Linked DNA regions of Oryzias latipes. The protein of the gene in region 1 interacts with the protein of each later gene in a pairwise test. Links are inferred from orthologs where the notes say so. Each region holds a gene or a part of one and is shown on either strand. Other genes may lie near its edges.

Region 1 (8,165 bases):
CGTGAGCGTTTTGGCACGTTACACAAACAGTATTGTTCCTGTGTCACTCAATACTGACTCCTGCTGGACTGAAAACAATTGTTCACCCACATCCTGATTAAATAAATCTTAGTGAAAAATATGTAACATATAAAATGTCAAATAATGTGAATGTGTGTTATAATGTGACAAAGCCACAGTGTGGATGTAATGTTGCTCAGTTACATATTCTCTGAGTGGGGGGGTATTTCTTTCCACAGAATTTTTATAAAAAAAAAAGTTTTTCAAGTGTTTTGGCATTCAGCCTATTACATTTTTTTGGAGGCAAGTTCTCGAGCTTTGAGAACACTCGTTCACATGGCACTGATGATGTGGGAGTGCATAAAAACTGTAGGGACAGCCTGAAGAGGTTTGGGAAATTGGTTTTATGATGGGTTCAATACTGCAAGGGATCCTGGGTCCTTGGCAAGTTGCTCTCAGCAAGGGATCTCTGGACTTCAATAATAGAATCTGCTGTGGCGTTGTTCGTCTTCTTGCCAACATCCTTGTCCAGCTGCTGCCACATGTTATCAAAGAACCAACAGATTTGATTTGAGTAGTCAAGTACAAATCAGTACGTAACTTTCAAAGAAATACGTGCAAAAATAAACGGATATACTTGAACACAACATGCCTGAAGTGGATACCGATAACTGTTGTGAAGAGGGTCCAGGCTGTGACTCAGTAGATGTGCGCCCAATCACAGCAGGACGTTCCATTTTCAAATTGTTCACTGCTTCACCACACCTTAAGGAACTCAAAAATCCAAGTATTTTACATCTGGGGTCTAGAAGTCTTGATAGGGTTATTACACTTGATGACTCCAGATTGGAAGCAGTGTCTGTGACTCGTAGCCTAAGGTTGTGTATTGCTACCTGTGTGTGCACAGATGAGCCAATAACCCTGCTGCACTTGGAGGCAGCCTTCTGCCAGTTCTGAGGCAATTACATAGTTGCAGCAAAATAAAATCAATTGGATTACAAACTCATAAAAATATTTTAATCATTTTACTATTTTCTTTTTTAATAATTATAGCAATTGTTTTGTCAGAATTCCATCATCATAGCTGACAGATTAACACATAACAGAGACATTTCCATGCAAAACTTGTTGTATTTTTTAGACATTTTTTGTTGTTGTTCTTCCAAGACTTAAAAAACTATTTTCTGAAAGATGGCACTTTCTTTAACTAGACCAACATGGAAAAACAGACTTTGCTAAACCAGAAATATGAAATGCTGCTGAGATTTTAAAAAATAAACTTTTTCAATTTTTTAACCTGAAAAAACAAACAAACAAGTGAGGCCATCTAAATGAATTTAACAATGATTTCATCTTTTTCTATGCGAAAGTGTGAAAACAAATAAATGGAGACAAAGCAGAACTTTGACCGTAATCTTATCTGTATTAGGAGTAGATTTGAAAACAAAAGACATGGCATTCATGTGTAGGTCTGATTTTAAGTTCCCTTCAAATTTCATCTAACTCTTCCTTCGGTCTGTAATTTCTTCATATAATGTTTTTAAGGTAGAAAAAAGAACATTGTTATAGTTCTGCAGAGCAGGACTTTTGTCAAGGAAGATCTTAGAGAACATAAGAAAACTTGGTGGTCCACAAGCAAGTTAATTGAGCCCGCTTCAGAAGGCTTTCTTCTCTAGTTGGTCAAGTATGGCCTGAATTCTCTGCACGGCTTCTTTCCGTGCTTGTCGAACATTGTCCTGTCCCTGAGTCTCCACGGAGTCCAGCTCTAACAGCTCTTTGGTCAGAAGTTCCTCAAGACAGCGGTAGCTCTTGTCTGTCTTTTTGCCTACAAACTCGTCAACATCTTCCTGAAGTAGCTGAACTCTGGTCATCACATGCTGAACCTTGGCAAGGCCTGGATTATCACTCAAGGGCAGCTGTCTGGTCTGACCTGCGGGCGGTGCAGGAGCTTGGGTTGGGGCTGATGGGGGGGGCTCAGCCTGTGAGGTGTTAGTATCACCTCTCCCTGTTTTGTTGTAGATTTGTGGAGGAGAAGTTATTTCAGCAGGCTTTCCATTAGGGGGTGGTGTTGGCCTGGGTTTAGGCCCCACCTGCAGAGGGCGTTGGTGATGCTGATCCTGAAACAACACAAGATAGACATATTTGCTTTTATCTCCTTACGGACTCTTGAATAATTGTTACACAATGCACGTCAGCTGCAGAGCCTTACTTTGGGCTGATAGGGTGGTGGGGCACCAGTCCCGGTTCCTGGCCACGCTGGAGGATGAGGTGGACGGACGGGATTCCCGTAATGATTTTGGGGAGGTTGCTGACCTCCCTGCCACTGTTGCTGTGAGTGGGCATACTGGCTGGGGTGTCCCCATGCTTCAGCCTGGGAATTAGGATGAAGAGCCTGGCCGGTTGGGTAAGGAGAATTCGAGTGAATTGCATGTCCACCTTCACTGTAGTGTGGGTATGATCCAGGAGGATATCCAGGACCCTGAGAGCACAAACAAGACAAACATGTTTATTCTCAAAAATGTAACATTACAAGAAATGGATGTCTCATTTTGGTGCTTTCTAAACACATTTGGGCTGCTCGATATAAGGAAAACTTGTGATATGCGATATTGATGATCAATATTGCGATGACGATATAACTTGCGGTGATACGTGAACACACCAAAACAACCAAAAACATCATTTCCATTTCACTGCAACGGTTTAAATTTTTTTTTTTAAAGTAAACCCTCGTCTAGCATAAAAGGGCACCATCCGATTGGTCAACAATGTGAAGGCGTCCATCCGATTGGTCAAATGCATAAAATGATTTGTTTGATTCCTTAAATACGTCAAGCTTCCATAAGATTGTTTTAGCAAACTCATATAAATAATAATAAGTAAAAAGACTGAAATATTAAACCAAGAACCTTTTGCTTCTATTTAAGTATTTTGTAAGTAATGTGAGTGTCTCATTAATGCGTAAATAAACTCACCCCTTGACAGTGTGGACCAGTGTAATGATGATGCTGAGCGTGAGGCGGCTCGCTGCTTTGATCTGCCGGACAGCCTTGGTGCGGATAGGAACTTGGACTTGCTCTCCTTGGATCAGCACAGTAGAAGGGGTTGGATGGGTGGAAGCTACTTGCCGGGTACGGACTCTGTGCATGGTTGTACGCTCCATGGCCGTTCGGATATCCTCCTGGCATTACCTAAAAATAAAAAATAAGTAAAAAAAGAAAAACAGGGACAAGCCTGAGAGGAAATTGACCACTCTGTGAAAACAGCACTTTTGATACCACAACTATGAGTGTTTGTGCAAAAGAAAGATGAGGAAATTGATGAGAATCAAAACAGTGAGCAATATATTAAAATGTTGAAGGAAAGGAATGGCTCGTATAGTGAGATGTACCTGTGGATTGTACTGCGGATGCAGATCTGACGCTGAAGGATAGGCATTTGCGTAGGGCCCTGTGGAGTGGGACTGCGGATACCAGTATTGTGGAGGGTAACTTGGATACTGAGGAGCATCCTGTAAAAGGCAAGTTGACACGAGACAGCGACTCACTTTATGTGATCCAACCCATTTTGTGTAGCTATCCTAAATCTCAAATAGAGATATGGAGAACTTGATGCTGAGAAACTTAAATGATAAACGCATTGATAAACATATACTCGTGTCTTTCTAGAAAACTAAATAAATGGATGTTAACTTGTGTTTAAATGAATGAAATAATTTGAGCTAAACCAATGATTAACTCATGAAACTCTATATGATCGCTACGATCTCCTAACGTGCAGAAGTGTTGTGTTAAATCGATATTTTCGAGTCAATGTAATTTAAAAACAAGGACTTAACTAATAAGCTAGCAGTAACTATTACATAATGCCCGCTAGCTATATTAGCTATGAAGCTAGCATGATGAACATTGCGAAGAACTTCTGCACGAACGAACAAACGGATTTTATTGTTGGGAGATTTTAAATTAATCTTTGTTTCTTTAAAGCACAATATGATCTGTCACCCCCTCCCCCCAGTAAAGTTTTTTTTAATTAATCTGCTCGCTTACCATAGTGTTACTGCAGCTTCCGTGACTATTTCCCGAGTTAGTAGAGGGCCAGCCAGTTTTCCCGTTTGGCTGCATTTGGGGTTTCTGCATCAGTTACACGTATTTTGCCATCTTCCAAAATAAGCAAGACTATCACTAGTTTACGGTTCCGCTAGAAATCTGACAGCTGATCAAAGCAGCAGCTTCCCCGCAGAAGTCAGGATCGCCTGATTGCAACCAAGAAATGAATAAATGACGCGGAACTCTGGAGACATGGTACTGCGTCTTTAAGTCGAGTAGAACCATTACAAGTAAAGAGGAGTCACTCTCTAAAACTTTCTGATCGAAATTGCTGGATGAAACCTTACAATTGCAAAACGCAGAAACGGGGAACACAATTAGAATATTTTTAATTAAAGATATTTATTTTCAATATATTTTACTGCTAAGACCAACTATTGAATTACTCCTGTAGCAGTTGTATTTTTTAAACATGTGACGCAACTTTTCAAAATTTTCATTTACGATCTTTGATGTGGCACATGCGTTGGAAGGGTTACCATCCATCATCAAATGGGGACATTTAATCCAAACATGTTTTATAGAAAATTCTTTTTGTATCATAAAATGTATGATACTTTTGTTTAAATCATTTTTACACAGTTATTTTTAGAAAATTCGAGCTATGCGCAATTACGGTGCGGAAGGGGTTAAATGTTTACAGGAAGTGTATAAAAGCACTTCCTGTGCACCGTCAAATAGAAACGGGTAAAAACATTCATGGCTTGATGGTTCAGAAATCAACTAAACGCGTGAAAACTGCAACTAAACATGAATTACGTACCAGGGACGGCCAGTCTCATTGACGATATTGACAGTAAGTTGGGCCTTATAGAAATTGCTTTTTTTAATCATAAACAAACGACACAATGTATTAGCGTGTGCCGTGTGGACGCAGATTTTTTTTAAATGTTTTTAATTTCGCAGAAAAGCACTTGGTCCTGCTGCGAGATGGCAGAACACTAATCGGTTACCTGAGAAGCATCGATCAGTTTGGTAATAAAAAATGAGAATCTTCTAAACTCTTCCATGCGGGTTTATTTTTTTATTTTTATATGATTACGCGGTGTTTCAATAGTCCTAAATTTGTTTGTTTCTTTCTTTTTTTTTTTTTTTTGTTCCACAGCCAATTTAGTCTTTCATCAGACGGTGGAGCGTATCCACGTGGGAAAGAAATTTGGAGATATTCCCAGAGGTATCTTCATCGTCAGGGGAGAAAATGTAGTCCTGCTTGGGGAAATAGTAAGTGTTTTAGAGCAATTTTTTAGTTTGTTCTAAACTTGAATGTAATTTCTGGATCAAGTTTTATTTACGTGAACTTGTTCTCAGATGCTCCGTACAGCACCAAACATCAAACTCTGAATGTGGTCAAGCATCCAGGTCTCGCACTGCAGAAAATGATGTGACTCTTATTTAAAGATCAAGTTAAATTTATATGCAAGTAAATTGTTACTTTATATAGTTACTACAGTTATAAACTTTTTTTTTTGAAAAGTTGCTGCCTAAATGAATACTTGCTTAAAAAGGAAATTGCGCACACATTGACTGTAAAGGTACCTCCATGTTAAGGTTACTTAGCAAAAACAAAAAAGGCTTAATTTTACAACTTTTTCAAATTTGCTGTTTGGTCTAGCCAGATTTTTTATTTTTCTCTCCTGGTTTTCAATATGATATAAAAGAAAAGCGGGTGGGAAAAGTGGTGAGGATTGTCAATCTTTGCTCTTTCCATATAAATACAATGCATACTTCTTCTTACTTTTTTTTTTCTTAATTATAATTTAGATTACCAATGATTACACAAATGATTGCAGGATTGCTGCTAGTTTACCTCACAACCCCAACCTAACATGATGGTGGTAGAAATGAATACGGCAACAATATTAGAGCTATCCAGCCATAGTTTGGAGCCAGATCTCAGCTCCGATGAGGGAAACAAAGAGGCACATGCATCGTTTTGTCTACAATGGATGCATCAGAATAGAGTGGTGCAGGGAGCTTGTGGCTTACCATTCGAACTTGTGTCACACAAGTTTTTCGTGGGTCCTTGAACCACGGAGTTTAAGCATCTTTTTGGGCAAAACTATGAGCAGGCCATAGCATTGAGTACTAGCAACTTTTGTTAGTGTCATGGAATGATGCACAGAGCCTAAAAGAACTTGATGACATTTTCGGATCATAAGATTTGACCTCACTCTCCTGTGTCCTGTGCAGGATTTGGATAAGCCCTGCGACACAGTCTTGCAGCAGGTTTCAATTGAGGAGATCCTGGAGGAGCAGCGGTTGCAGCAGCAGGCCAAACAGGAAACGGAGAAAGTCAAAATGCAAGCTCTGAAGGACAGAGGCCTTTCCATACCCAAAGCTGATAATTTGGACGAGTATTGAACCCTTTACAAGCCTTTTAGTTTGTATAAGACAAATGGATTTTATGTTTAACTGAAGGGTGTCTTTTGTTTTGTGGCTAGAATCATGTAAGGCACAATACTGCATTGTTTTGTTTTGCTTTTTTTTCTTTTCTTAATAGTTTCATTTAAATTGTATGGGGATGTAAGAACTGTTTAAGCAAATGGTTACAACTTGACGGCCTTTTTACAGCAGCACTTTGTCATCAATCATCATAATGACGTGAACTTTTTATTTGGAGATGGTGGGTCTGCTAGTGACTAACACTCCTGTTCTCCATTAAAACAATTGAGTTTCACTTACTAAAGCCTGCTTGAAAAATCTTTTGTCTTTGAAGGTTTAATCTGCAAGTACACAGAAAGCGGTGCGTTTAGTCATTTAAGTATTTATTGGTGACTTGACTGGCTTCCTATTGGCTAATCAAAACGTTAATTCTGTTATAGGGATGATCTTTCAGATACTGATCAATTTCCCTCATTAGCTGCTAGAATAAAGTGACGTGTAAGAGAAGCTATGCGTTTTACAGTCATCTTTATATGTACCCCGTATACTTTTTTATTTTTTTTTATTTATTTTTTTCTTAACCTATAGCAGGGTTCTGCAACCTTCAGCACATAAAGAGCCATTTGGGTTGATGTCTCAATGACCACGCCCCAGTAGGAGTCAAAGTCTTTATTTTTTTATTTTTTTAAGACTAATTTGTCTTGGATACTAATATGATAAATATAGATGAACTGTTATTTGGCATAAATAAAAAAATATAAAGAGAAAATAGCTTTTTTTTTAAAATACCGGTAGTTTAAACTTTTGATGGAGGTTCATGTGACTTCCTCTCAATAAGTGTCCTGTTTCACATGGGATCCTCTCAATCCAGCAAATGTAGAAGTGTAATGTCAGCAGTGATTAAAAATAGATATTTTAGCATTTGAGGTGCATAACAGCCAACATTTGTAAATCAAATCAACAAAAAAAAATTAGAGCTAAGTGACCCTTGCCATATTTATTAGAACCATAAGGTGAACTTAAAAATCCTTCAATTTGTTAAATAGAAAACTCACCATCCATTACTCCTTTAGTAGGAATTCTGGCTGTGCTGACGGCTCTACAATTGAATTTCTGTGGTAAATGGCATTTTATTCAACTACAAAGCTGCACCACTTGGATTGTCAGCATTATGGGTACTGTAGGCAGAAGATCTGAAAGAAGATCGCTTATTTTTTCCTTTACTGTTCAGTTACCTGGGGCCTCATTTATAAAACTTTGCGTAGGATTTGCGTCAGAAGTGGCGTACGGATGAAACATAGGACGTGCGTACGCACAGAAATATTCGGAGTTATAAAACCGTGCGCACGCACATCCTACGCATCTTTCCCTTAAAAAATCACAACCGATTCTAAATGCTGCGCAGCTTTTGCGGCTACATGACACGCCTATAGTTGCCCATAAATAGTCCGTGAAACGCCCACAAATTAATATTTATGGCTTGCTAAATCATGGCAAACACAGAGGGGAATTCAAAAAAACGTAACTTCACTCAATGTGAAGTAGAAGTTATCGTTGGCGAGGTGGAAAAGAGGAGAAAAGTGTTGTCACCGGAGCTGACCCCTCTTGATGAGAAACTGGCCGCTATTATTGGGGAATCCCTATTAAGTCCCCCTTATCGGCGTCCTCCTCCGC
Region 2 (7,476 bases), on another chromosome or scaffold:
CATAAGATTTTTATGGTTTAGCTGCCAAATTAATTTTATTTGCATTTAATTTGTGTTCCTTTTTTGCTTACTGAAAAACATTCATTTTTGTAAAAAAAAAAAAAAAAAAAAAAAAAAAAAAAATTTACATAAAAAATAAGATGCAATATTTGTATTTTGATATAAACTTTGGTGGGATCCAGGAAAAGACGCTCAAATGCGTTTTGAGCTAAAGCTTAGCTTAGTGACTGATAGATATTATTGTATGAAAAACACTGCAGTTTTTTTATGAACTTAAAAAGAATCACTTCTACAGTTGACAAAAAAACCTTCTCAAAAGCTTAATACAGATTTCTAAAATGATATACATGTATTTATATACATATATATATATATTTATCTGTTCATTTCTGAAGTTGTTTTTGTATATTTTCTTTTTTGAAAAGCTGGTGCTGAATGCCTTCAATCATTCTCCGGAAAGTTCATTTTGATGCTACCTCACTCCTCAGGGGGTTTCAATCTTTCATTCTCCTGACGTTTATCACCGCTGTCCATTTTAAAAGATGTCATTTTGCTCAACTTGTCTCACTGTTTAGTTCTTTTTCTGTTTATTTGGAAAAATCTATAGCTGTGTTTTGCTTTCAGATTAAATATGAAAATGTTGATCTGTAACTGGACCAAAGCCCAGCGCCTTTTACTGTGCCTAAAGCTGGAATAATACGGTTATTTATAATCTAATCAGAGAATATGCAGTATAAAATGTTATGTCCAACAGAACAGAAAATAAAAAGAGCTACCTTAGAAATGAATGTCTACTGGGAACACCTGATTTATAATACTGATTTCTAATATTGTGTAATTCAGATTATAGTCAGACGTCAGAAAAAAACAGACATCACTGCTTAGAAAAGGTGTGATTAGTAGTTCTTAACAGGATTAAGTTTCTAAATAGTAGCTCGAGTTTCTGTACATCACCACTTGACTATTTTTGTTTTACAATAAGGACATTCTGCTTTACTAGGTGCACAGTTCTCACAAAGTACATAATGTTGGCAAGGTTGCAGAACAACGCAACGATCATGGTTTTGGCAAACTATACATTTCTTTGACTGAAGCTGATAAATTACCTGTTGGGGGAAGAAAAGAGTCGATATGAGCTGCAAACTACAAGAAAAAAAGAAAACCTGTTCATGCAAATTGTTGAAATAAGCATGCTTCATGACAGAACGGGTGCTTTGTAACAACCTAACAAACGGTCTTACTCAGACGCTACAAAATGAAATGCTGTTTGAGATCTAGACTTTCTTACCCCGTCTATAAGGTCTAGGTCATTACGTAGCTGACTCTGGATAGAGTGGAGTTTGGACAGGGAGAGCTGGTCCAGCTCTCCGTAGCTACGGAGGAGAGGAGTTCCAGGGGTGCGACAAAACACGTCAAAGTCTCCCTGGAGTTCTTTCAGCTTGCGCTCTGCGTCTTCCCATTTCTGCTCTGCCAGCTGCCGCTCGGCCTCAGCCGTCTTTGCTTGCTCCTTCGCTTCGTGCGCGTCTTTCTGACAAGCTTCAAACGCCTGGAACGAAAGCCAAACTTGGCTTTTAACAACATCAACTTGAAGCTTTGTGCTGCGGCAGAAGTGGGGTTAGACGGCTGACCTGCTTGACTTGATGCCAGGCCTCCTCCCATTGTTTGATCTTCCTTTTAGCTTCATCCAGCTCTCGAAAAAGGCGGGCCAGATCAGTGCTGCTGGATGTGGAGGTCAGGCTGCTGAAAACTGGGGATGGACTTGGAGAAAAGCTGCCACTTACAAAGTCCCAGATGTTGCTTGCTCCTCCATTCAAACCTAGATGTGAAATAGTTTTACAATAGTTAGAAAAAGGATTTTTTTAATGAAGAAAATCCTTTTACAATCTAAGTTGCATCTTACTTTGAATCTAAAGAATGTGGTTGATTATACTGCATTTACTTTTGTAAAACACTTTTAATGTCTGCTGCCGCTTACCCAGGGAATTCTGGGAAGAGGAGGTGGGTGTTCCCAGGAGGCCATGTTCCTGCTTGGTTAACATGGCGGCATGGTTTTGCTGAGACACTGCTCCAGACAGCAGCGACTGTGACAGCGACTGGGAGAGGGAGCTCAGCGGAGAGGTGGAAAGCGATGACGAGGAATTAAAAGAGGAGGACCTCGCCAGGGAGCCGGGAATGTTGACGGGAGCCGACCCACCCAGCACCCTTTGACCTACGAAGCAACGTCAAAGCGGCTGTCACCCGAGAGAAACTAAAAACATTTACCGGCACAATTTGGAATCTCTTACTTGAAAGTCCTAAACTGTTATCTTGCTCCTCTAACTCCTTATCAAGAGATGCAACGTTGATGTCGCTGAAATTGAGGTCTAAAGCAGAACCTGATGAGGAGACAAAAGAATCTTGACTTACACCTGAAAGCAGAACCTTTCTAAGCCTGTTAACCCTCGGGGTTAGCGTGCAGTTACCGATGACGGACTCCACCGTGTTGCTCCCTGGATAGAAAGGAGTGGCCTTTGCATTCATGGTGGATAAGGTGGTGGGTGAAGAACTATCGGATCCAATACTGGAGGCCAAACTTGATGTGATGCTGGACGTGAAGCTTGATGCCAACGGGTTCACAGCAGAAAATACAGTATTTTGCATCTAAAGAAAAAAGAAAATATATATATATGTAACTATTAAAGAACGTTTGACAAATACTGGGTTTACATTTTACAGATTTATGTACAAACCTGCTTATCTTGGTCCATTAATTTTTGCTCCGTCTGTCCCTTACACTTTATCTATAAACAACATTGGAAACGTCAGTAACTTTCTCCTTATATCCAGTCTATATGAAATAAAATACTATTTCTGGGTTCTTTTGTTGCCGTTCTGACATCTTTGCTCAGAAACTAGTTCAGGATTGAGCCGTTTTAGAAATTAAATCGAAAAATTAAAAAGTTAAATAACTGCACAGATCAGGGCAAATACAATGAATCACACAAAATGATCTAAAATCGAAAATATGTGATAGCATGAACTGATGACGGAAGAAAACAACATCAAATAAAATCAAATAAACTTTAAATAATGAATGGCAGTTGATCATCCTAATATTTGTGCGTCTGTATACCTGATCCTCACGTTCAAAGCCCGGAGCTTTGGGATAGTTAGACATCAGAGATGGAACACTGGATGAACTGGACTCTGAACATAAACTACTACTAGTTAGGGACACGGGCCTGCTGATGGATCCCACTGGGGAGAGCAAGCTTTCGCTTCCTGAGGATGTTGTTACTGTTGTATTATTTGAACATGAAACCTGAGAAAGACAAGTGCACACGATCCCATAAAAATGACGATCGGAACATTACAAGCTACATGTAGCCATCATTTAGGAATAGAAGCAACAATTGCGATACTATTGGTTTCAATGAGAGTCTGTGTGTTGTCTGTTTTGTGACAAAATGTGAAAAAAAACAACAACTAATAAATGGATAAGAAATGTAAGACAAACTGAAAGATGGTAACACAATGACAACAAATGAACCGAATCTCTGACTAAATTCTGGCTCAAACAGCTTCAAAAAACGGGCTCCCTCTTAGCTTTAACACCCACTTTGGTCAAAGAATTTTCATAATAAAAGCACTGATAGAGAAAGAGAAAAGAACCTACACTTCCTAGTTGTCCGTTGCTACTGCTTGTGTTGGTGGTGGAGTTTCCCCCACTGTTCCACTCACCAACTGGACCCTCTAAATACTGCTGAGAGCCCAGCTGGGCCTGTGAACCCGACTGTATGGCTGACAGCAATGAGTTCATTGTCTCCTCTGTGGAGGGAATTCCTGAAAACAGTCAAAATACAGACTACTAAGTGACTTGTATCTAAGTAAAAGACATTTTTAAACTAGTAAAATGTAAAAATGAAAATATCAAAGCAGAATTTTCGACACTTGCAACTAAAAGGATCGACTTACTTTCTACATGTGCAAATGCACAAAACGGCCCTCTGGGGCAGTATCCTGTTTGACGCATATCATTGCATTTGGTAGATTTGTAGATCTGCATGCAAAAACAAACCGATTATTTTTGAAGCATCCACTGGAAGGTTTTCAGCAACCGGGCGTCCCAAATTCCACAAGTTAAGTTCATTATTTCCTTCAGAAACGCACACAGCAAAGAGGTTGAGGAACCTTCAGAAAGTGTCTCTCACCTCTGGGTGAAACTGCTGTTCAGTGCGAGAGTGACAATACTGGCAACTGTCCCCACTGTCACACTTTGAGGGTTCACCCCATTCATCCCCGTGTTTCACGTTGGGACAAGGAGTTGACCTGCAGGTCAAAGGCTTTATTATGACCATAATGTTGACATTAACGTGTTCATTCTAAATGACAAAACTCACCTGTACTTGAACTTTCGTGGATTTCGCCTTCGATCCCTACTGTTGTGGTAGTGAGGACATGCATAGCCCTGTCTGCATAGTCTGGGGGGTTTGGTACACTGATCTGTCTTATAATTGGCTAAAACAAAGTTGGTATCTGCAAAAACAAGTCTTCATGTTAAATTCTTGTGACTTTTAGCATTGCTGCATATTTCATTGTTTTCTTATATAAGCTGAGCTTATTTTAGAAAAAATATTTATTCGGGGGTTGCCCACCTTGCCACCTGGGATCTTCAGTTAAAGTTTTCTCAATCATAGCTTGACTAGCGAGCACACCAGGTTGTAAATCAGGAATACCATCCCCAGATCCCAACTGACCATTCTGGAGGGCCTCTTGTGCTTGGATCTCTCTGTGAATACACACAAAAAGATAAGGAGATATTAGAAATAATAATAATAATAATAATAATGAGATTAATGTGTAAATCCAACCTTCATTAAAACACTTTAAACACTTTGAAAATATATTTTCTTTGTTTTATTAAAACAATTTCAATTATAATGTGCAAAATGTTAGAAAACCCAATCAAGATATCTCATCATAAAACATATGTTACATTATTATGTTGATACTTATTGGTGCAGAAAGACAAATCGGAAATTACAAATAGTAAAAGTCATGCTGGTGCAAAACTAATCCTGCACTGAAGATGATCTAAGGCTAAACTAGTTGCTGCAAATGCTGCATTGTGAGGTTTATGGGAGGAGAAGCTCAAAAATATAAAAGCAAAGGACAACAGCTGCTCCGCAGGTCACCTGATATCATAGACTGGAGGCCGGAGATCGTGTGGGCCGTGAGCAAAAGCACAGTGAAGGCCGTTCTTCACACAATGCCCTCGAGCATCTGTCTCGTGGATACAAGTCCCAGTCTTGTAATATCGTAGATGGTACTTGCGCTCGGTGTCGCCCGTGGTTCGGTGTAGATAAGGACAACTGCAGACACAAAAACTCAATTTTAGAAGATCTAAATAAAACAAAAAAAAAACTTATTCTGAAAATAAAATATTGCAGAAGTATAAGCTTCAAAAACATTTTAGACTGAAACTTCAGGAACAAACATTTAATTTAAATGCTTAATGATGAAATAATCAAAACCTTTAGCATATTTAATGAATAAAAGAAATTAAAATAAATTAGCTGAAATTTTAGGGAATTTAAAAAAAAAAATAAACCTAAAAAAAAAGAGCAAAAACTATTATATTGATCCATATTTTCAGGGCTCCTAACACCTCTTTTACACAAATAGGCCAGTAAGCTTCTTGAATAAAATCTGCCTTCCTTGAGCAGCAACAGTTGCTATGACAACGCATAAGGTCATGCAAAAATAGCCTTGATCAGCAGAGGAGAACTTTCAACGACTACAATAGTCACAACCTATTATTATGATTTCTGTAATAAATAACTCTTCAAACATTTGAATCATAGTTAATTAAGCAGTTTACAGATTGTGTTATAGTGTGTGATCACATTTCCTCTGCCAGCTCTCCTCTGTTTAGTCCAACAGAGGCTGAACAAAAAACTGCTTTAAACATGCCAAAGACCTTTAGCAATAGGTTTTTTTTATATTACATTACAAAACTTAGTCTACGACAGAGTATAAGGACCAAAATAAAAGAAAAAAAGTACAAATAAATGAGAATGAAGTTGTGAAAAGTTACAATATTACAAGTACAAGATCCCAAACTTATGCTTCAAAAGTTGGAATTTTACATAAATATAATTTTTTTATGAAATGTTATATTTAGCTTTCCAAATGTTTAAACAAAGACAATCAAACATTATCTGTTTAGTATATGTTGCAAACAATTCAGAGGAACAGGATGAACATCACTGTTCAAGAATATCACTGAATCTGCCTAATTGGGGGGGATGTACAACTTTATTTTCATTAAAATAAAATTTTACTTCCAACAAAGTAGACTTTTTTCCTTTCAAAATTATGAATTTTATAAATTATAAAATGATGACCTTTCTTTAATAATGGAACAATGTTATTTTCATTATATTTGGACTTTTTTCCTCGTACGGTAATTTTATGACTGTCTTTCTAAGAATTGTACAATTTTTTCTCGTGTAAAGGAAACACAACACGGATCAGTTATCGGAGAAGTGAATAATGCTTAAAACTAGCATGTCTTTAATTATTTACTAGATAATATTTATTTAATTTCAGCTGATGACAGATCTGCATACAAAACTTAAAACCTTCATTTAAAAAAATAAACAACCACACGCTTTCTAGGTTTATATACCTTTAAAACCTAACCACTATAGTATACTTCCAAAAAACACTCAAAAGCATGAACTATTCAATCAACAGAATTAAAGTCAGAAACTCAGTAAAGTTAGTGCCCCCAAAAAATGTCTTTATTTTGGTATTTCTGGTTCACGAGAAAGAAATCCCTCTATGACGTATTGGACTCCAGTTATATAGCACAACATATAGCACCAAATTTTGACCGGAACTTACTCATCTCCATCTGGACAAATGCCTGTAGTCTCGTCGTATTTCGTGCAGTACACGTCCGGGCTGTAGTTAAAGGTTCCGTCTCTTCTTCGGATGGGTCGCCTGCGTCGCTGGTTAAGAAAATGCCAATGAAAGCAGGTAAAGGGTCTGTGCTGAGTGCACTTGTGCTGGAGGAACAACGGACACTGCTCTGTCCTGAACTCCTTTAAGTACCTGAAACAAGCGGACAAAAACAACAACAAAAAGATGTTTAAGTTACCCGTACAACGTCTACACAGCAACAAACGAAACCAAAACAAAGAAGGAGTAATGGTGTCCTGCCGTAATGGTCGTGCTGAAGCAGCTCATTTTAGGTCACTGACGTTGGCTTGGTATTCTGAACACAAACTGCGCAAGAGTTTCCGCGTGCGCTCGTGAGAAACCCCGCAGCGTACGTCAGTAAAAATACGTAACAAGGGGGAACACAAAATAAGGCCGAGCTTTGCCACAAGCAGACTGATTAGCAGGATTCTTGCTAACCATGTAGCACAGCAAGCTATAAACACAAGGCAGGCGCCTCGGAACGATCTCTTCAGGCTTTTGAAGGGATTT

Evidence for each region. The genes of interacting proteins can lie anywhere in the genome.
Region 2: the proteins of bag4 (region 1) and unkl interact in binary tests that used the Homo sapiens proteins (3 or more experiments, as listed by UniProt). The link is inferred for Oryzias latipes from reciprocal best matches to the Homo sapiens genes BAG4 and UNKL.

Annotation. Positions count from the first base shown.
Region 1 is NC_019867.2:18,632,216-18,640,380, forward strand, and holds bag4 (BAG family molecular chaperone regulator 4), read right to left. Parts: upstream 4,312-8,165; 5' UTR 4,140-4,311; coding exon 4,050-4,139; intron 3,512-4,049; coding exon 3,392-3,511; intron 3,192-3,391; coding exon 2,976-3,191; intron 2,480-2,975; coding exon 2,210-2,479; intron 2,118-2,209; coding exon 1,656-2,117; 3' UTR 996-1,655; downstream 1-995. Other genes in the region: U6 snRNA-associated Sm-like protein LSm1, read left to right, coding at 4,860-4,905, 5,016-5,084, 5,215-5,330, 6,300-6,470. UniProt on the Homo sapiens protein: Inhibits the chaperone activity of HSP70/HSC70 by promoting substrate release. Prevents constitutive TNFRSF1A signaling. Negative regulator of PRKN translocation to damaged mitochondria.
Region 2 is NC_019866.2:8,065,068-8,072,543, reverse strand, and holds part of unkl (putative E3 ubiquitin-protein ligase UNKL), read right to left. Parts: intron 7,099-7,476; coding exon 6,889-7,098; intron 5,352-6,888; coding exon 5,175-5,351; intron 4,769-5,174; coding exon 4,635-4,768; intron 4,516-4,634; coding exon 4,380-4,515; intron 4,309-4,379; coding exon 4,191-4,308; intron 4,040-4,190; coding exon 3,955-4,039; intron 3,823-3,954; coding exon 3,656-3,822; intron 3,302-3,655; coding exon 3,113-3,301; intron 2,781-3,112; coding exon 2,730-2,780; intron 2,641-2,729; coding exon 2,463-2,640; intron 2,376-2,462; coding exon 2,286-2,375; intron 2,210-2,285; coding exon 1,976-2,209; intron 1,817-1,975; coding exon 1,629-1,816; intron 1,547-1,628; coding exon 1,289-1,546; intron 1,144-1,288; coding exon of another isoform or gene 1,107-1,143; coding exon 951-1,106; 3' UTR 1-950. UniProt on the Homo sapiens protein: May participate in a protein complex showing an E3 ligase activity regulated by RAC1. Ubiquitination is directed towards itself and possibly other substrates, such as SMARCD2/BAF60b. Intrinsic E3 ligase activity has not been proven.